Oryctolagus cuniculus: one gene and its partners. The protein of the gene in region 1 binds, or shares a complex with, the protein of each later gene. Links are inferred from orthologs where the notes say so. Each region holds a gene or a part of one and is shown in the gene's direction. Other genes may lie near its edges.

The links. Proteins that work in one complex are often made in the same cells at the same time.
Region 2: MFAP1 (region 1) and SF3B3 share a complex: the UniProt entries of both Homo sapiens proteins name them as parts of the spliceosome B complex. The link is inferred for Oryctolagus cuniculus from reciprocal best matches to the Homo sapiens genes MFAP1 and SF3B3.
Region 3: MFAP1 (region 1) and ZMAT2 share a complex: the UniProt entries of both Homo sapiens proteins name them as parts of the spliceosome B complex. The link is inferred for Oryctolagus cuniculus from reciprocal best matches to the Homo sapiens genes MFAP1 and ZMAT2.

What each region holds. Positions count from the first base shown.
Region 1 is NC_091443.1:66,694,100-66,698,864, reverse strand, and holds part of MFAP1 (microfibrillar-associated protein 1), read left to right. Parts: intron 1-1,493; coding exon 1,494-1,623; intron 1,624-1,887; coding exon 1,888-2,075; intron 2,076-2,565; coding exon 2,566-2,674; intron 2,675-2,761; coding exon 2,762-2,922; intron 2,923-4,765. UniProt on the Homo sapiens protein: Involved in pre-mRNA splicing as a component of the spliceosome.
Region 2 is NC_091449.1:56,664,070-56,668,834, reverse strand, and holds part of SF3B3 (splicing factor 3B subunit 3), read left to right. Parts: intron 1-2,184; coding exon 2,185-2,340; intron 2,341-3,098; coding exon 3,099-3,254; intron 3,255-3,851; coding exon 3,852-3,995; intron 3,996-4,765. UniProt on the Homo sapiens protein: Component of the 17S U2 SnRNP complex of the spliceosome, a large ribonucleoprotein complex that removes introns from transcribed pre-mRNAs.
Region 3 is NC_091437.1:28,328,636-28,333,929, forward strand, and holds the start of ZMAT2 (zinc finger matrin-type protein 2), read left to right. Parts: upstream 1-1,718; 5' UTR 1,719-1,846; coding exon 1,847-1,864; intron 1,865-2,196; coding exon 2,197-2,290; intron 2,291-3,741; coding exon 3,742-3,865; intron 3,866-5,294. Other genes in the region: HARS2 (histidine--tRNA ligase, mitochondrial), read left to right, coding at 252-311. UniProt on the Homo sapiens protein: Involved in pre-mRNA splicing as a component of the spliceosome.

The sequences.
Region 1 (4,765 bases):
AAAATTGCACAAGTGGCAGCTTTAGAAAACAGCAGGTTAGGGGCCAGTGTTGTGATATAATGGGTTAAGCCATTGTCTGCAGCACTGGCATCCCATATGGGTGCAGGTTTAAGTCCTGGTTGCTCCACTTCAGATCCAGCTCCCTGCTAATATACCTGGGAAAGCAGTGGAAGATGGTACAGGTGCTTGGGCCTCTGTGCCCAAATGGAAAGCCTAGAAGAAGCTTCTGGTTCCTGGCTTTGGCCTGGCCCAGCCCTGACCATTGCAGCCATTTGGGGAGTGAACCAGCATATGGAAGATTTCCTTCTCTTCTTTCTCTCTCTTTGTAATTCCTTCAAATAAATAAATAAATAATAAATCTTTTTTTTTTTTTTTAATGTAGGCTACTTCTGGCCCAGAGGTGCTAATTGTTAAGAAAATATGACACAGAGATGATGTGTTGGTTTAATGAAGGTAGTCTCTTTTTTTTTTTTTTTTTTTTAAAGACAGAGTTACAGAGAGAGATAGACACACACACACACACTGAGAGGTCTTCCAATCACTGGTTCATTCCCCAAATGACGGCAACAGCCAGAGCTGAGCTGATCCAAAGCCAGGAGCTTCTTCCAGGTCTCCCATGTGGGTGTAGGGGCCCAAGAACTTGGGCCATCTTACACTGCTTTCCCAGGTGCATTAGCAGGGAGCTGAATCAGAAATGGAGCAGCTGGAACTCAAACCAGCGCCCATATGGGATTGGGATGCCAGTACTGCTTATTTTTTTTTTTTTAACTATTTATTTGAAAAGCTGAGTTGCAGAGAGAGGAAGAGACAGAGACAGAGATATCAATCTTCCATCTGTTGATTCACTCCTCAAATGGTCTAGCCATGGCTAGACCAAGCCAAAGCCTAGAGCTTTTACTGGGTCTCCCACATGGGTGGCAGGGGTCCAAGTATTTGGGCCATCTTTCTCTGCTTTCTCAGGCCATTAGCAGAGAGCTGCCTTCCCCAGGCACATTAACAGAAAGCTGGGTTACAAATGGAATAGCTGCTACTCAATCCAGCACTCTGATGTGGGGTCTCAGTGTTGTGAGGGGCAGCTTAACCCAGTGTACCATAATGCCTGCCCCTTCCCATTAGTTTCATGCTGTATTTGCTTTTTATCACAGTGACCACCAAAAATCCAGTTTCATAGATATGATGTCATTGAAAGGAATGTGTTATGATCTAATATTGTAATTATGAACTACCCTGAGCTATTAAAAATATCCCTTTGCACCCCCATAAGTTGGCTGTGTTACTCAGGATGCCTCAGCATATGTTTAACGGTTTACACTCTACTTGACTGTTTGCTCTGACATTCTGGTGTAGGTTTTTTGACCTGCATCTCAGTTTCCCAATCACTAGCCTTCAGTGTTAAAGTGAACATGTCAGAGTACTCTCTGACGAAGGAAGTGTGGTTGATACTCCTTCATTTTTGTAACACTGGTTTTACCCTTGGAAATACCATTTTTCAGATTGGCTCGACATCGGAAAATAGTGGAACCTGAAGTAGTAGGAGAAAGTGACTCAGAAGTAGAAGGAGATGCTTGGCGCATGGAAAGAGAAGACAGCAGTGAAGAAGAGGAGGAGGAAATAGATGATGAGGTATGTTTAGGAAAATGGGAAGTTTTTCTGGGTGCATGAAAAAATTGAAGCCAGTGCTCATTTCCTAAGCTCCTGTTGGCACAATATTGCTCTTTTTTGCAAAATTCTGATAATGTTCCCTGGTGGGTGGGGATAGGATTGAAAATAATAGAATGATGCTAAGGTGCATTGGTTCATATCAGAATTTGTTGAGCTTGATGAGGGAAAAATAAGAAATCCTTTTAAGAGCATTTGACCGGCTAGCTTAGATGTATGATTTTACAGGAAATAGAGCGGCGCCGTGGCATGATGCGTCAGCGAGCACAGGAGCGGAAAAACGAAGAGATGGAAGTCATGGAGGTGGAAGATGAGGGACGTTCCGGGGAGGAGTCTGAATCAGAGTCTGAGTATGAAGAGTACACAGATAGCGAAGACGAGATGGAGCCTCGCCTTAAGCCAGTCTTCATTCGAAAGTAAGTATTTCACAAACCTGGTCCAAATCCACTAGTTACACCAGGATTAAAGCCTCTTTTCTATCCAATGATCTTCTGAAATCTAAGCACTAAGTGGAAGCATTTTGCCCAGTGTTATAACCCTTGCTAAAGAATATCTTGGCATTAGCAGAGAGCCTGTTTGTTTTCACATCTCTCTTTCCCGTTAAAGAGCACATATCTGCTCAAGGTTATCAATTTTAAGCAGAAAATTAAGCAGGAAGAGTAAACTCATATTCCTTTTTTAATGACTAGAAATCCTATCAGTTACAGTCCAGCAGATTCTTTGCTATCCAGGCAGTCCTCAAAGATGAATGAACTTTGTCTAAAGACCTGAGATATCTGCCACTTTTGGTTCTTCACAAGTAACAGAGTCAAAGATTGTTTGGTGTTGTGTAATGGGCCTAGATCTAAGGGAACAAAGAGCTCTACTCTAAGGACTTGGGCAACTAATAGGACCTCTGTAATGCAGGAAGGACCGAGTGACAGTTCAAGAACGGGAGGCTGAAGCATTGAAGCAGAAGGAGCTGGAGCAGGAAGCAAAGCGCATGGCTGAGGAGAGGCGCAAATACACACTCAAGGTACTGGGGTATGGTTGCAAGCATCGAGAGAGAGCAAATAATGTAATTAGGTTTGTCTGAGTAGTCGTAACTATTCTGTCTGTCCAGATTGTAGAGGAGGAGACCAAGAAAGAGCTGGAGGAGAACAAGCGGTCCCTGGCTGCACTGGATGCCCTGAACACAGATGACGAAAATGATGAGGAAGAATATGAGGCATGGAAAGTCCGGGAGCTAAAAAGAATCAAGAGGGACAGAGAAGATCGAGAAGCGTGAGTGATAGGATGGGCCTAAAGTTAATGCCACTAATGGGACAGGTTTCTGATAGCATCCACCATGAGTTTCATTCTAGTTTTCTTGAGGGATCTTATGGCTGAAGTCAGTCTCCCATAAGTAGAATATGAGTTTCCTTTATTAGAGTGAAATCAGAGAGGAGAAACATACTTTGTTCACCATCATAGAGTGCCAGCCAATGCTCTTGCCTTTTTTTTTTTTTTTTTTTCTCTCAATTTGAAAGGCAAAGAGTTGGAGACAGAGAGAAACAGAGGGCTTCCATCCACTGTTTGACTCCCCAAATGGCCACAGTGGCAGGAGCCAGGAACCAGGAGCTTCTTCCAGGTCTCCTGCACAAGTGCAGAGGCATAAGGACTTGGGCCATCTTCTGCTTTTCCAAGCCATAGCACGTAGAGCTGGATCGGAAGTGGAGCAGCCAGGACTCCAACTGGTGCCCATATGGAATGCCAGCACTGCAAGCGGTGGCTTTACCCGCTACACCACAGTGCCGGCCCCTAATGCTCCCTTTTGTTTCCTGTTAAGACACACACAGTCAATGTTGTTATCTCTGGTTGTGTAGCAACCCAACCCAAAATTTAAGAAGCTTGAAACACAGTTTATTATTTCTCAGTTTTGGAAGTTAGCTGACCAGTTCCTTTACTGGGAGTAACTGGGCCAAAAAGTCTAAAAGGGTTTCACTCCCAAGTCTTGTAGATGATGTTGGCAGTAAGCTGGAATACCTCATTTCTTGAGTAGCTACCTTTCCTAGCAATCTCAGAGCAGCATTACAAGAGGGCAGGGGTGGATGTTAGCAAGGCCTCCTGAGGCTTAAGTTCCAGAACTCATAAATACTTCTGCCAAATCTGGACTTGACATCTGGTCACAGCAAGTCACAGGCCATCCTAGTTCAAGGGAGTAGATAAATAGACTCCACCTGTAGATTGGAGGAACAGCAAAGTTACACAGAAAAGGGGCATGCATACTGTGAGTGGGAGGATTTACAGCACTTAAATATCTACCTCACTCACTCTTTTTTTTTTTTTTTTTTTTTTGACAGGCAGAGTTAGAGAGAGACAGAGAGTTATAGACAGTGAGAGAGAGACAGAGAGAAAGGTCTTCCTTCCGTTGGTTCACTCCCCTAATGGCTGCCACGGCAGGCGCTGCGCTGATCCAAAGCCAGGAACCAGGTGCTTCCTCCCGGTCTTCCATGCAGGTGCAGGGACCCAAGCACTTGGGCCATCCTCCATTGCCCTCCCGGACCGCAGTAGAGAGCTGGACTTGAAGAGGAGCAACCGGGACTAGAACCCGGGGTGCCAGCACCGTAGGCAGAGGATTAGCCAAGTGAGCCACGGCACTGGCCGCTCACTCACTCTCTTAAAGCAAAATTATTTCTGAGCTGTGTCACCCATTCCAGGAATGTGAGAGGATAATTTCAGATTATAAAAGGAGACCATCAGTAGATAAATGTCCTCAGCCTGTAGTTTCTAATGTCCCTATACTGAGCTTTAAGGAGTCCATGCACTGTTTAAGACTGTTTGGCAAATTAAGTGTATGTGTGCTTTTTTCTAGAGAAGGGGGATCTGTGACCCTTCTCTCCCCCAAAAAGGTTAAAAACAGGCATTGCAATCAAATTCATGATAGTAGTAACCCTTAGTTTACATGTAAGCACATACATGATGATGATGAGCTTACACAAAAGAAAGTCTTTTACTTTAAATACACGGTGACTTTTTTTCAGACTAATAAAGCTTTTTAGGGAGGAGGAATTGGTATGCCAAAAAAAAAATTTTTTTTTGAGTTATAAATGCTTCCTTTATTACATAAAGCCAGTAACTGCTACTT
Region 2 (4,765 bases), on another chromosome or scaffold:
GTGTTCCTGTCTCTCTTCACTCTCACCTTTGTTAACATAGAGAACTGGCCTAAGAATTAGTTCTTTCAGATTTTGTTTTAAAAGATTCATTTTATTTATTTGAAAGTGTTACAGAGGGAAGTAGAGCCAGAGAGAGAGAGAGAAAAAGATTTTCCATTCGCTGGTTCACTTCCCGAATGACTTCAGTGTCCAGAACTGAGCTGATCCAAAGCCAGGAGCCAGCACTCTTGCTTTACTAGGCCAAAGCAGAGAGCTGGATCCGAAGTGGAGCAGCAGAGACTCAAAGCAGTGCCCGTGTGGGATGCTGGCACTGCAAGCTAGGGCTTTAAACCACTGCACCCCATCACCGGCCCTTATTTTATTTTATTTTATTTTATTTAAAGATTGATTTATTTGGGCCTGGTGCTGTGGCATAGTGGGTAAAAGCCACCACCTGCAGTGTTGGCATCCCATATTGGCGCCAATTCAAGTCCCAGCTGCTCCACTTCAGGTCCAGCTCTCTGCTGTGGCCTGGGAATGCAGTAGGAGATGGCCCATGTCCTTGTGCCCCTGCACCTGCATGGGCCAGAATCTCCTGGCTTCTGGTTTCAGATCGGCACAGCTCTGGCCATTGCGGCCAATTCGGGAGTAAACCAGGCGGATGGAAGACCTCTCTCTTCCTCTCCTCTCTGTGTAACTCTGGCTTTCAAATAAATAAATAAATCTTTTTTTTTTTTTTTTTTTTTTAATTTATTTACTTCATTGGCAGAGTTACAGACAAAGAAAGGGAGAGAGAGAGAGATCTTCCATCTACTGTTCGCTCCCCAAATGGCTGCAGTGCCCAGATCTGGGCCAATCCCAAGCCTAGAGCCAGGAGGCCCAGAGCTGCCTCAGGGTCTCCTGTGCAGGTGCAGAGGCCCAAGCACTTGGCCCTTCTTTATTGCTTTCCCAGGCCATAAGCAGAGAGCCTGATCAGAAAAAGATCAGCTGGGACTTGAGCTCTTGCCCATATGGGATGTCAGTGCTGCAAGTGGATGCGTAAACTACTACGCCACAGCGCCGACCCCAGTTCTTTCAGATTTTAAATAATTCAGCTTTTTGGCTGGCACCGCAGCTCAATAAGCTAATCCTCCGCCTGCCTGCAGCGCTGGCACACCGGGTTCTAGTCCCGGTCGGGGCGCTGGATTCTGTCCCGTTTGCCCCTCTTCCAGGCCAGCTCTCTGCTGTGGCCACGGAGTGCAGTGGAGGATGGCCCAAGTGCTTGGGCCCTGCACCCCATGGGAGACCAGGAGAAGCACCTGGCTCCTGCCATCGGATCAATGCGGTGCGCCGGCCGCAGCGGCCATTGGAGGGTGAACCAACGGCAAAGGAAGACCTTTGTCTCTCTCTCTCTCTCACTGTCCACTCTGCCTGTCAAAAAAAAATAATAATAATCCAGTTTTAGAATTTTGGTGCATGACATCCTTTCTGCCATTTCTATGTTACTGACACATACCATAAATGCTTTCATTTTTATCAAAGAGGGTTTTTTTTTTTTTTAAAGAAACTGTTCTCTTTTTTTTTTAAGATTTTATTTATTTGAGTGGTAGAGTTACAGATAGTGAAAGGGAGAGACAGAAAAAGTCTTTCATCCGCTGATTCATTCCTCAAAACAGCTGCAGCAGTCAGAGATGGGCCGACCTGAAACTAGGAACTTCTTTCAGGTCTCCCACGTAGGTGCAGGGGCCCAAGGCTTGTGCCAAATTGAACTGCTTTTCCAGGTTATAGCAGAGAGCTGGATTGAAAGAGGAGCAGCTGGGATTAGAACCAGTGCTCATATGGGATGCTGGTGCTGGAGGTGGAGAATCAACCTACTGCACCACAGCACTAGCCCCAATAGTTTTTTTTCTAATACATTATTTTTCATCTTCCTTTCTTTTTTGAAACAGAGTTAGAGAAATTTTCCATATGCTGGTTTACTCCCCAAATGGCTGCAATGGTTGGTGCTGGTCCAGGCCAAAGCCAGGAACCTGGAACTATATCTGGGCCCCTTATGTGGTGGGTGCCAGGCTCTTGGCATCTTCCACCACCTTCCTTGGTGCTTTTGTAGTTTACTCTTCATGGGCTTCACATTCAATGTCTTAACATCTCCTTTGGGTAAGGATGGGGTATCAGATCTGATAGGTGTTGCAGGTTGTTGTCAGTGATGAGTGTTTTTGCCTCTAGGTGTACCCAGATGGCATTCGGCACATACGGGCAGACAAGAGAGTCAACGAGTGGAAGACTCCTGGAAAGAAGACAATTGTGAAGTGTGCGGTGAACCAGCGACAAGTGGTGATTGCCCTGACAGGAGGAGAGCTGGTCTATTTTGAGATGGATCCTGTATGTTATTTTTATCATCCACTGTGGGAGTTGTAGTCCAGGCATCTATATTATATTCACAAAAAGTATTGAGGAGTGAAAGTGTCCATTAGCAAACCAGGCATTTTTATAGAAAAGAGGAAAGAATAAGGTGATACCTAATTCTAATTAGAATTAGAAATATCTTCTTAGCAATGAGACAGTTGTCTTAATGCAGTTCGCACTCTACTTTTCCAACTGAAGTTTGGCATAGATTTGTGTCTGCAATCTGAATTTGTGTCTGAGTTGTTCCTTTGCTCTTCTAATATGGAAGGATGGTAGATAACTCTGTCTCTCTCTCTCTCTTTTTTTTTTTTTTTTTTTTTTTTTTTTGCTCTTAGGAAATCTCCAACATAGCCAGTTTTCATAGTCTTAGTGTTTGTTACAGCTTTGTGTTTATCACATATGAATTCCTTTCGCTCAAGGTTTTCTCATGAATGAGCAGTTTTTGTTTCTTGACAGCTGGTTTGCTTAGAAAATTTGTGGTACATTGAACTTGTCAAAGGTCTCTTGATTGTCTTGTCAGTGGGAGAAAGTAATTTTGTTTATGGTTAGCTTATGAAGTTCAATCTTTGGCTCTTGGGTTGGGAAATTCTTGGATGTCTCTATTTAGAGTAATGAAAGAAAGCTGAAAGAAACCTTAAACAGTCTGCTTCCCTTCCTGTCTCCTGGGTGTAGGGTTTGTGGGTGAATTAGGGTATTTCTTTCGCCCTGTACTTTGTGACCTTTCCTTTCTCTAGTCAGGACAGCTGAATGAGTACACAGAACGGAAAGAGATGTCAGCAGATGTGGTGTGCATGAGTCTGGCCAATGTGCCTCCTGGAGAACAGCGGTCTCGTTTCCTGGCTGTGGGACTGGTAGACAATACTGTCCGAATTATCTCCCTGGACCCCTCGGTGAGTGATGCCCTTGTATTCAAGGATCTTCTGGTTTAACCCGAGTACCTGGCCTGTGCATGGTGTCTCTTGAGATTAGCAGGACTGGGCTCCACAGTCTATGTTGCTATGTCTATTGGTTACCATTGCAACATAGCCCAGGCATCCTCCGCTGTGGTTTGAGGATGCTCAACTGAGACTATGAGATATTTCTTTGGCATAAGCTTTGGTTTCCCTGTGTAGTTTTTTAAAAATCAGCAAAGAAGCTTAAAGAAACCAAACAGTTGCTTTCCCCTCTGGATATAGGATCTCGGGCTGAGTTGGGTATGTTTTATCCCTCTGTGTTTGCATAGGAGCAATTGACTTGCTCCAGGGCTTTTGATGGCTTTGAGGGAGGTGTCCTTTGCTTATTTACTCTTCCATTGTATGTTTTAACATAATAAGGCATGTTACTCTCAAAGCTTATGCCCAGATGTCCCCCCCCTTAGAAATCAGTCTTGGGGTTTTCTCTGCCCACTAGAGTACTTCAGTCCTAGAATTAGATTCCTCTTAGGGATGTCTTTCTAAAATTGATCATTTATTGTGATTTTTATGATTTTCTCTCCCTTCCCGCCCCAGGACTGTTTGCAACCTCTGAGCATGCAGGCTCTCCCAGCCCAGCCTGAGTCCTTGTGTATTGTGGAAATGGGGGGAACGGAGAAGCAGGATGAGCTGGGTGAGAGGGGCTCTATTGGATTCCTATACTTGAATATTGGGCTACAGGTAAGAAATCCAGAAACTCACATTGTTGGTATCAGCCTGTCTGTAGGTTCCTTGTACTCCATTGTCCTACACAGGCATTTTTGTGCACTTGGTATCAGAGACTCAGTGTAGGAAAATGAATGGCATTGCTCTCCATTCCACTTTTCTCAGCTCTTTAATTAGAACAAATGAAACCTGAGGAATATTTGGAGAGAGAAAAAGTATTTGTAGAGCGTTCACATCTGACAGCGCTTTGCAGTTGCTACGAAGCCATTGCATTCTCAAGGTCACCTGTGAGTCCCATAGTAGTCAGCTCTTGAAATGAATTACCTCACAGATCACAATTGGCTGCGTTAGTAAGGACCTATACGTGTTCCCTGTTGTCAAACTAGCCTGAGCTCTTCTTGCCAAAGAACAGCAGAAACCTAATGATCAGAGTCGAGGTTTTTGATAGCGTTTTTTATTTTCCTTAATGCTTATTTACTCAGCAATTTTATCTAGCCCAGGTACTTTCTGGTTTTTAATTTTACTTTCTAATCTAGAAATCCTCAAACATAGAAATTAGAGACACTAGGAGCCAGTGCTGTGGTGTACTAGGTTAATCCTCTGCTTGCAGTGCAGGCGTCCCATATGAGTGCTGGTTTGAGTCCTGGCAGCTCCTCTTCTAATCCAGCTCTTTGCTATGACCTGGGAAAGCAGTGGAGGATGGCCCAAGTGCTTGGGCCCCTATACCCATGTAGGAGACCCAGAAAAAGTTCCTGGCTCCTGGCTTTGGGTTGGCCCAGCTCTGG
Region 3 (5,294 bases), on another chromosome or scaffold:
TGAAGAAGACCCACCCCAGACAACCATTGTAGCCAGTGAATATTGGCTTGATGGGCAAAGAAGGAGAAACAAAATGGTGCTTTGAGACTGACCAACAAAGTAAACAAATCCCTTTAGTCTTGAGGATGTATGTTCTCCAGATTACCGTGAAGCCCACAGTACACGCAGAGTAAAATGAATCTGAAAAAACAGTGATTAAAGAGTGAGTATCACTTTCTAGTTTGTCACTTCAGGGGTCTCGTATGTTTCAGGTGGCTGTTAAACGGGAAGATCTTGTGACTGAAATTCAGAAGCGACTGTCTGAGTCTTGATCCTTGCTTGAAAGCCGTCTGCTGCTCTTTGTAGAAGAGATTTCATCTGGGCCAGAATTCCTGCTGGATTCCAGCATAGCTGGCCAGGATAGGTGGCAAGCACTTCTACCTCCTCCATCCTTCCTGGATACAGAACTGTAGAAGGCCTGAGGACTCCTGGGCTGGTACGGGAAGCTGCTCTGCATGGGTGCAGATGGCTGGGGTGTGAAAGACATTTTCCAGCTGTGGAAGCAAATTTGGAGTGCTGCTAAATGCCACCAAGAGGTGCTGAGGGGTTGCTGGGAGCAGGGCTCGGCTCTGGGAGAGCCACCTCAGGCTGAGGATTCTGAACCATCGAGATCAGAAGGCAGATACTGGACCTTCCACAGCAGCTTTGGAACCAGAATCTGGGGGATTTGTCCTCAACGAACCCTGGATATGTCCAAGGAGTTTTGTAAAGAAAGCAAGGAGAAGCAATGACTGCTCTTCGCTTGAGGGCGGAGATGCTGTCCTAAGGGCGGGAGTGCCCAAGTTGATCTGTCGTCTCCGCCAGCCACTGTTTATGATAGTGGGGTTGAATTTCATTGGTGGCTTGTCAAGTTGGAGATCTGAGCTTTTGGAGACTATTTCCTATGCCAGAGTCATGCTCCGACTATTCCATGCCCTGCTTTTCTACAGGTGGTTAAATAATTTGTTAAATAAAGTATTAAATGTGGTAGTTTGAGTGATGTGTTATCAAGGGATTGGCTTGCCTAGGTCATTGGCTTGTTTCAATTTAGACTGAAGAATTCTGTGAGCTAGAAGTAACCTCCCTGAGGTGTAGTCTGTGCACGGAGCAACCACAGCCCCTTCTTCCACTCCTGCCCCCCACACCCCGACTCGCTGATAGTCATGTTGCTAGAAATCAACGTGTCCTGAGCCATCTGCCCGAGTGCTTCACCTGATTATTGCTGATGATTGGCCGCCTTGTGTCCAGTCATATTGAGGAAATGGTTTCCTAGAGACTGAATGACCTATGATGTTCCATAGTTGAAGGAAAAAATGAGTTAACCAGAGTGATAGTACTGTTTCGAGAAAGAGAGCCCTAGTGCAAAAAGCGCTCTCCGTCTCTGCCTGGGAAGGTTCAGCCGTTGCCAACACTTCAGTGCGGTTCAGGGCCCCATCCCTAGCAGCTGCAGGGGAATGAGACATCTAAAGCCCCTAGTAGTAGTTGGGACTTAAGGTTTAGAAACTCTTGACAATGCACGCAAAGTTGATTAGAGAAAGAGGCATTTTCAGAACCTGAATTAAACGTGTCGGCTCTTCACCGCTTGTTTTGAAAGCCGGTACAAAAAACGTTTGCAGGCGCCCTTACTTCCGTGTTGCTTCGTACTTTTCTTGCGCCTGCGCCGTCTCCTTGGAGCAGAGGCGGGGCCGACAAGTCTGTTGTGAAAGCCCTCCAGTCCTTAGCCCGTTCAGAATACGAGACTCTAAGCTTATTGGAGGGCCGACTTGCTTTACGGCTCCGGGCCTCTTTTTACAGCATTTTCCGGCCTCCCATTCACTTCGCTGTGAAGATGGCGTCGGGCAGCGGGGTATGTGTTGTGTGTGAGGAGGAGGTTTTTGGGGGCGGTGGGGTTACTTCTCAGTGCTGAATAGAAACAAGCTCCTGCAGCGGACTGGCTTCCCAACACTTCGCGGTCCTAGGGTCCGGGTTCGAGAATTCCGTAAGGCGTGGGGTCTGTGGAACCGCGGAGTTCTCTTGGGTTGGGGTCCTGAGGCCACTTTAGCCTCTTGGTCTGGGCCGGAGAGCTTTCGCTTTCCAAAAATCCTGGAGCCGCCTTGGCGGTGCGGACGTGGTTCCTTCAGACTTTCTAGGGGTCCAGACGCGATAGCGACATGTCTTGAGCGCTTTCTTTCCCCACAGACAAAAAACTTGGACTTTCGCCGAAAGTGGGACAAAGATGAATACGAAAAGCTTGCCGAGAAGAGGCTCACGGAAGAGAGGGAGAAGAAGGATGGTGGGTGCCTGCTCTGTCCAGGGCTCGGGGTGTCGCGGCGGCGATGCAGTGGGCGGGAGAGTTGGGATGGGCTGCCCTCCTACAGGGTGGCACTTTTGGCAAAGTGGCCCGCGGCTTCTCCGCGTCTGAAATAAAGAGGTTTTGTGGTGCTTTTCAGCTCTGTTCTCTGTTTGCTTGTTTTCATTGGTTGGCTCATTTGGTGCTTTCCTGAGTTACAGAGACCGGGCTTCTTAGTAGTGACAGAGAAGCTCAGTGGACTGATTGGCTGGTGGGCATTACTGCTCTCAAAGACACCTTCTTTTCCTTGAGAGCTCTTCAGAGGGAGGAGAACATTCCTGGCGCAGCTGGGACTCTTAGAGCCGGAGGCAAGCGGGGTACTGCCTGGAACGTGCGATCCTTTGAGCTGGCGCTCGCTCGTGCTGTTTCTCTGCGCCTTGTGCGACATCAGGGACGTCGTGGATGCTCCTCTCCTAGATAGCGCCCACTTTGGGAAAAGAAGTGTCTGATTTTTTCTCATCTGTTTTCACGTTGTTCTATTTACTCCCACACCACTTTTCACAGGCCAACAATGCTGTTTTTGTTATTGTTTAACATTTATTTATTTATATGAAAGGCAGATTGACAGAGGGAGACTGAACCCTTCCATTGGCTGGTTCACTCTCCAAATGGCTGTAATAGCCAGGAGCTGGGAGCTCCCGCCGGGTCTCCCACATGAGTGGCAGGAGCCCAAACTCTGGCCATCTTCCCTGCTTTCCCAGGCACATTATCAAGGAACTGAATCAAAAGCAGAGCAGCCCAGGAGTCTAGCAGGCACTCCAGTAAGGGACGATCATGTTGCTGCTGGCAGCTTAGCTCACTGCTGCAACACAGGCCCCACCCTCTTGGTTTTTCTGTATTATGTACTTGGTCTGTGAATAGATATTTCCTAAATATTGGCCCCCCTTTTAAAATTTGGCCATTTGTGTGTTATGCGTAGGGTATCTGCCTGTAAAGAATTCCTGAGTGTCCTTGCTCTTTTTTTGGTTGACTTGAAACTAATAAACTTTCTTGGGTATGCCGGATAATTAAAGGATCTGTTCCTAACTATGTATAAGTGACAAATTATTCCCTCTTCTCACCGAATTCACTTTTTTTTTTTTTACTCATATGTCCTTGCTCTTTTGAAAAGGCTGCTTTTAGTGGGAATTCATAACTTTTCCCCTCAGTTAATCAATAAATAGAAAACATGTAGCTTGTAGATTAGCTGGCTTTAAAGTGGAGAAAAGCTGTAGATAGTAGGGATTGCTTATCATTTTTCTTGTGTTCAGATTCTCCCTCACTACTGCTGACTGCTGCTGGAGGTGCCTGTTGTGGCCTTTTTTCAGGAATCATTAATTTTGGGTTTAATGCATTTATTTTCCTTTCTGACTGATAACTGTAATATTGAAGGGACTTTCTTCATTATGTTTCAGGAAAACCAGTGCAGCCAGTCAAGCGGGAACTTCTGCGACACAGAGACTACAAAGTGGACCTGGAATCTAAGCTTGGCAAGACAATTGTCATTACCAAGACCACCCCACAGTCTGAGATGGGAGGGTAAGTGGTTTTTTTATCTTTCCAAACAGCTGTAGTAGGTCCAAGAAACTATATATATTTGTTTTAGGAAATGTTGAGGATCCCTAACCCCAGGATAATAACCTTGCTGCCTATCATTTCACTCTTTGGTTTGTTTTACTTTGTCCTTCACGGTCTTAGGTTAACAATTAGTGTCTCCAGAAGTGGCCACTCTGTGGCCTTGTTCATGTTGGCAGTGTAACTGCTCCTTACATCTTCAAAGGAATTCTTTGTTAGAAGAAGAAAGGAGGAGAGAGTCTGTTGATTTCTAGGAGAGAAATAGGTGGAACTAGGAGGGGCTTTGGAGCTGTTAATGGTGCAGAAAAAGGGCTGAGGTTCCAGACTGGCACAAAGGCTGCCGTTGTTATGGATTACCTGGTTGTGCACCTTCCTCCCTGACCCAGACTGTAACCTATAGGAAGAAGGTTCCCACAAGATCTTGCCATTCTTTTGCCACCACTGTTTCTCTGTGCAGTTAGGACTTCAAGCAGGAGGTCAGCATAGGTAGCAATGAGTGAAACTTCTTTGAGTGGCTATCATTCTTCTCTGCAGTAGTTCTGTCCGTGGATACATAAATTAATAAGGGAACCCAAGGTTTAGCAGCATAAAACAAAAAGTTCACAGTGTGTGTGGGTGTGGAATCTGGAAGTGGCTTACCTAAGTGGTTCTTGCTCTAGGGTCTTTCATGGAGCTACAAGCAAGGAGTTGGCTAGGTTTGCATTCATCTCGGGCTTAAGTGGGCTGAAGGAACTGCTTCCAAGCTCCCTCACAAACCTATGGTTTGGAGGCCTAAGTTCTTTCACCCTATGAACCTCTCTGTAGGACTGCTCACAACAGAGCAACTGCCTTTTTCAAGAACAAGTGATTCACACAGAAATAGAAGCCGTGGTTTTTAAAACCTAACCTTAGAAGTGACCAGTCATCAGTTTGAACATAATCTGTTTACCACACAAACCAACCCAGGTACAAATTGGAAGGAGACTACACAGGGTAGAAACACCAGGAAGGGGACTTATGGAGGCTGTTTTGGATGATGGCCACTACATGATATTAAGAGCTAAGGCTTTATGGAAATAAAATTTTAGACTTAAAAAAAAAAATAGAGTATTTGAAAGGCAGAGGGACAGAGAAAGAGGGAGATTCTATATACTGATTTACTCTTCAACTGCTTGCAATAATTAGGGCTAGGCCAGGCCAAAACAGGGAGCCAGGTACTCCATCTGGGTCTCTATGTGGCTAGCAGGAACCCAAGTACTTGGGCTATCGTGTTCCTCTCAGGTGCATTTGTAGGAACCTGGAGTAGCTGGGACTTGAACCAGGTACTCCCGTTTGGGATGTGGCCTTCCTAAGCAATATCTTAACCAGCTGTGCCTCAGTGCCTACCCTGAAACCTTAAAACTTCTGAAATGAA